Linked DNA regions of Saccharomyces cerevisiae S288C. The gene in region 1 interacts genetically with each later gene. Each region holds a gene or a part of one and is shown in the gene's direction. Other genes may lie near its edges.

What was found.
Region 2: of HIS1 (region 1) and FAU1, a mutation in one rescues a mutant of the other (synthetic rescue), as found in Saccharomyces cerevisiae (one study listed by BioGRID).

What each region holds. Positions count from the first base shown.
Region 1 is NC_001137.3:264,170-267,407, reverse strand, and holds HIS1 (ATP phosphoribosyltransferase), read left to right. Parts: upstream 1-1,622; coding exon 1,623-2,516; downstream 2,517-3,238. Other genes in the region: FCY2 (purine-cytosine permease), read left to right, coding at 1-896. UniProt on the Saccharomyces cerevisiae protein: Catalyzes the condensation of ATP and 5-phosphoribose 1-diphosphate to form N'-(5'-phosphoribosyl)-ATP (PR-ATP).
Region 2 is NC_001137.3:552,551-555,527, reverse strand, and holds FAU1 (5-formyltetrahydrofolate cyclo-ligase), read left to right. Parts: upstream 1-1,558; coding exon 1,559-2,194; downstream 2,195-2,977. Other genes in the region: FMP10 (Fmp10p), read right to left, coding at 2,269-2,977. UniProt on the Saccharomyces cerevisiae protein: Only enzyme known to utilize 5-formyltetrahydrofolate (folinic acid) as substrate. Contributes to tetrahydrofolate metabolism in an alternative way of folate biosynthesis.

The sequences.
Region 1 (3,238 bases):
TTGCCGTCTTTTTGGTTATTATTGCCCAACTATCGAGATCAGGAAAGTTTAAAGGTGGTGAATGGGTAGGAGGTGCAACTACTGCAGGTAGTGTTCTTTCTTTTGGTTCATCTATTTTCGGTTTTGCCGCAGGATGGACGACCTATGCAGCTGACTACACTGTTTATATGCCAAAGAGTACAAACAAGTACAAGATTTTTTTCTCCCTAGTTGCTGGTCTAGCGTTCCCTCTATTTTTCACCATGATTCTTGGTGCTGCTTCTGCTATGGCTGCTCTTAATGACCCAACCTGGAAGGCATATTATGACAAAAATGCTATGGGTGGTGTCATATATGCTATCCTGGTTCCTAACTCTCTGAACGGATTTGGTCAATTCTGCTGCGTTTTGTTAGCTCTGTCCACTATTGCAAATAATATTCCAAATATGTATACTGTTGCTTTATCCGCTCAAGCTTTGTGGGCACCTTTGGCTAAAATACCAAGAGTAGTCTGGACAATGGCAGGTAATGCTGCCACTTTAGGTATTTCCATCCCTGCTACCTATTACTTTGATGGCTTTATGGAGAATTTCATGGATTCTATCGGTTACTACTTAGCTATTTACATTGCCATCTCATGTTCAGAACATTTCTTCTACAGACGTTCCTTCAGTGCTTACAATATTGATGATTGGGATAATTGGGAGCATCTACCTATCGGTATCGCAGGTACTGCTGCCTTAATTGTTGGTGCCTTCGGTGTTGCATTGGGTATGTGTCAAACCTATTGGGTTGGTGAAATTGGCCGCTTAATTGGTAAATATGGTGGTGACATTGGGTTCGAGTTGGGTGCAAGTTGGGCCTTCATCATCTACAACATCTTAAGACCTTTAGAATTAAAATACTTCGGTCGTTAGGAAGTAATGATTAGGGCGATCATTTCCCCGTGCACATTTCACGTCATGTATCATAGATGCAATTTCATGTAAACTATTTAGACATCTCATTTAATAAAAATAGCTACAAACTGTATTTTACAATATTAGTAACATATCAAAGATAATCTCTATGGTATATACAAAACTTCAAAAATGCCAAGACAATTTGCACGGCTGCGACCTAATTGAGACTTTGTGGCCTGCATATCAGTCTTACAATAAAAGCCAAAAAGAAAAAAAAAAAGTAAGAATGCACAGGTGACTAGTGGTTATGTGACTATGTGAACGTAAAGAGAACGAGATGTAACCCGGCAACCCGGCTAGAGAGGTTGTTTAGCATGCGAGGTATTAGACTCCTTGTCAAAAAATTAATTAAAATATTTATTAGTTAATTTATTAGTTGCAAAGTCATTGATAACAGCGTGACTCTTCCCGGAAATTCTTTCATTTCGGCATTTCGAAGCGAGACCGCAAAACACGTGTACGCACGTAGCCAACGATTGAAAAAAAAAGCTTCCAAGTGAGTCACCTCTACCGTTGGAACTTATAAAATATTTTTGCAGAATATACTCGCCTGAAAGTCCATTTATACGCAGTGAACTGCAAGTATTTACCGTCTAAACTTTGGCATTTTACTCCTATTAACGGTTTGAATCTTTGAAAATAGAAAAGAAAGGATAGGTTTCTAAAAAATTCAATAGAAAAATGGATTTGGTGAACCATCTAACCGATAGACTACTGTTTGCAATCCCAAAGAAAGGTCGTTTATATTCTAAAAGTGTTTCTATTTTGAATGGTGCTGATATTACCTTTCACCGCTCTCAAAGATTAGACATTGCACTAAGCACAAGCTTACCTGTAGCGTTGGTCTTTCTGCCCGCTGCAGATATTCCAACTTTTGTTGGTGAAGGTAAATGTGATCTTGGTATAACTGGTGTTGACCAAGTTCGTGAATCTAACGTCGACGTAGACTTAGCAATCGATTTGCAATTTGGTAACTGTAAATTGCAGGTACAAGTCCCCGTAAATGGCGAGTATAAAAAGCCAGAACAGTTAATTGGCAAAACCATTGTTACCAGTTTCGTGAAACTTGCTGAAAAATACTTTGCCGATTTGGAAGGTACTACTGTTGAAAAAATGACCACAAGGATAAAGTTTGTCAGTGGTTCCGTGGAGGCATCATGTGCTCTGGGAATTGGTGATGCTATTGTAGATCTTGTAGAGAGTGGTGAGACAATGAGGGCAGCAGGTTTAGTTGATATTGCCACCGTCCTAAGCACAAGTGCCTACCTAATAGAATCAAAGAACCCAAAGAGCGATAAGAGTTTGATTGCTACTATCAAATCAAGAATTGAAGGTGTCATGACCGCTCAAAGGTTCGTTTCATGTATTTATAACGCACCTGAAGACAAGCTGCCTGAACTGTTGAAGGTGACGCCTGGCCGTAGAGCACCAACCATTTCCAAAATTGACGATGAAGGATGGGTTGCTGTTAGTTCCATGATTGAGAGAAAAACGAAGGGTGTTGTTTTAGATGAATTGAAAAGACTCGGCGCATCTGATATCATGGTTTTCGAAATTTCTAATTGTCGTGTATAAGATAGAACAGAAAAAGGGAAGCCAAATCCCGATTAATTTTGTATTTTTTATAGGCAATAATTTGATAGAGTTCTATCTTATTCTAAGTTACCCCTCATGACTTCCCAAGTGTGTTTTGAGGTTATCTCTGTGAATATTTTTTCTTTTTTTTTGCTACTTCCCCAGGAAGTTAAATCTTCGTAGCATATTTGTCAGCTTTACTACCGTCTTCATGCTCATGAAACCTTCTTCTTCAACCCCCTTCATTTCTCCAATTTTCGAAAACTGGAGCTACCCATAAATATTCGGAGTTTTGTAGGTATTTTTATTTTGGAGAAAACCTGTACAAACTCTCCCCAGGGAGCATAGATTGGGGATCGTAACGCATAAAGCTGTCTAGAATGCATTTTTCCATGCTACGTCGATTTTTTGCCCGGAAGAGGCTGACGTAGCGCTGGAAGGTACCGACAACTATGCCTATTGTGGAGATGGGCGGCAAACTCCTGTCGCAGAGTGGGGGCGGGGAAAGGTTCTTTTTGCCGTGGAATGAAGCGCATAAAAGAAAAACAGTATGCCATATTAAGTCTTTTTAAGGGGAAAGGGGCTGCTACCATGAGGTCTTTTACCAAAAATGTGTATCAGCTACGCTTCTCAATGAAGGGGCCAAGAAGTTCGTTCTATCCAACAGGAAATATTTCGATATTGCAACGGTCTTTCTATATCTTGCATATTCTTCTTCAGGT
Region 2 (2,977 bases), 290 kb from region 1:
TCACAATGTATATTACAAAGTGGAGAAGCATCCAAAATATAGCTGCAGTGAGAATTCATTGAACTGTATCAACTGGGTGGAAAATGTCACAGTCACTTATGGAATTCTATGATTTTATTCAATAGAAAACATTTAGTAAAGCTGGTAACCGACCTTTTTTTTTTACACATTTTTTTTTTTTTTGCTGATTATACCTTGCATTCTAACACCGGGTTCTGATGTTATCACCTACTTTGTATCTCGCATCATTCTTTATTTGGTAGACACGTCCCAAAATGGAGGATGCGCACTAACGAAAATGAAGGATAATGCAGTGAGAATGATAATTTTGATATTGATAGGATCAATTGAAAGCATATCACATGTTTTTTGTGAAATGTTGTATAAGAGATAGCGCTCTTGTTGGGTTTCGATAGGGGGAATGTGGAGTATCTGATGTAACACTGTAGTCTTATTTCTTGTCATAAAGAGGGACTGATTGGGGTGAGGCATATTATATTATAGGAAAAATTGCAGAATATCTAGGTAGTAGTCGCTTCAATAAATTTTTTTCCGACACAAGAATAATGAGACAAATCGGACTATATTTGACGATTAAATAAACCCAAAGCACCCCTATGCTATATGGGGGAACTTTAGAGTAAACAAGGTTGAAATACGTCAATTTGTAATTTCATAAAATACGTGAGGTCTTTTTGTGAGAGATACTTGCCCATTTAGATTTTTGTCCATATCGTGATAATTTTTTTGAGTTTTAATTAATGTGCTCCACCATCACAGAGTGTGTACCAGTGCAACCCACTCAGGGATATGCTTTAAGTCATATATTCTCGCTCTATGGGAACCATAAGCTGGACACATTTCTTGAGGTTATTTAGTAGCGAAAAATGGCGCAATGTTACTCTTTCACTTCTATTATATGGGGCTACAATGCCAATAAGGATTAATGGGTAGCGATTGTGGTTTCTTACCTTTGTGTAGTTGCGTAGGCTTTTTAGTGTATCAGTGAGCAAATTTAGTCCAAAAAGATCGCCAGCGAAGACTGTCGTATCTGGATCATTCGTAGTATCGATAGCTTAGCGATATTCTCGAGGATGTAAAGACAGCAGATTGGAGTTCTGATAATTTTTCATTACTTTTCAGTGAGAGAGTGCCTTTCTCGTTTTATATCTCAATCCTACCCGTAGAACTGGTCTGCTATTCTCATTTATCATTTTATTTCAAAAAAACCTTCAGGAGACAAACTGATTCCATCAAAGGCCTGTTTGCTATCTAGGACAATATTCGAGCTTAGTAAGTCACTTCCTGAAAACCATTCTGCTTGCGAGCCCGAAGCTTTGTGGCAATCAGTCTTCCACATCTGTTTGCAAGGGTGTTTTATTTCATGTCGTGAGAGATTTGTGATTAAAGCTGTTTTTATTAATCAGTTAGCAGCTTCATTCTCTTGAAGGATATATATAATTTTCTCAGATTTCTTCCGAATAATATTTAATCATTGAAATGGCAAAAATAAAAATTACTGTCAGCTACGCTATCTTTATATAGCTACAAAAAATTAATGGCCACTAAGCAATTACTGAGACGTCAAATCAAAAGGGTAATAAATGCTCTTGACTACGATATTATCGCTGCAGAGTCGCATACTATTTCTCAAGCAGTACGCTCATTGATCGCTTCCGCCAATTCTAGGCGTGTAGCGTGTTATATGAGCATGGATAAAGGAGAAGTAACGACTGGAGAAATCATTAAGAATTTATTTCAAGATGGCCAGGAGGTCTTTCTGCCAAGATGTACTCATACTTCTGAATCGAAACACTTCAAATTACGGGAAGATCATCATCCACATTTAATATTCCATCGAATGAGTAGTTTGAAAATGGTTCGTGATTTGAAGCCTCAAGGTCCATATCAACTAAAAGAGCCTGAACCGCATATTGAGGAATCAGATATTCTAGATGTCGTATTGGTGCCTGGAGTGGCGTTTGATATTAAAACTGGTGCAAGGATGGGTCACGGTGCTGGGTATTATGACGATTTTTTCCAACGGTATAAGATACTGCATGAAGGCCAAAAGCCCCTCCTAGTTGGACTATGTCTTATGGAACAGGTGGCCTCTCCAATTCCTTTAGAAAAACATGATTATTCCATGGATTGTATAGTATGCGGAGATGGATCCATACATTGGTTTCAATAATTTCATATATGTATTATTTACATGGTACAGCTATTGTATAAATAAATAAATAAATAAATAAGTAGACGGCAAATCTATTTTTCTTCTTTTGGATTCCCTTGTTCGCTAGAAAACGTGGCATTAGCTTTGACCAATGTCCTGTTGCCACTTTGGTCCATAAGTTCAGCCTTTAATTTAGTTTTGTTACCGTATTGCTGAAGATCGGTGGTTCTTACTACAACAAATTGATTAGCTAACGTGGGGAACTTGTACGAGATACTCAAATTCTTGGTTTCTTGGTTTATATTTTTTGTTCCTTTTTCGAGTCTAATGGCCTCCTTCATTAAATCTTCAATAACTGTTGCTAAAATGCCTCCGTGAATTAAGAAAGGATAACCAGTAAGTTTCATTCCTAAATGGTATAGCCCGACAGTTTCACGCCTACTGGGGTTGTAGTAAACTCTTGGTGGTATAGCGACGCCACCTGGTGTATTTAATGCCCTTGACACTAACAAGTTCTCCTCTTCATTAGCAATCACTTGTACAAAACCAGCATTCTCCAACTGTTTTACTATGGGTAGGCCATTTAAACGTCTATTCAGATCAGCGTGATATTTGACGACTTCATCTGCGTTCTTGGGTAGGGCATCATATCTCCAATAAGCTAGTAAGTCCGTGAACGTCATATGCTGTGTCAAGTACCACCCTCCAAGAAAACTTCCCCCAAAAATTGTCCATGGAATCCATCTTCTTTTGGGTTTAGAGGCTGTCTTGAAAACAACGCCATTTGTATACGTTCTTATC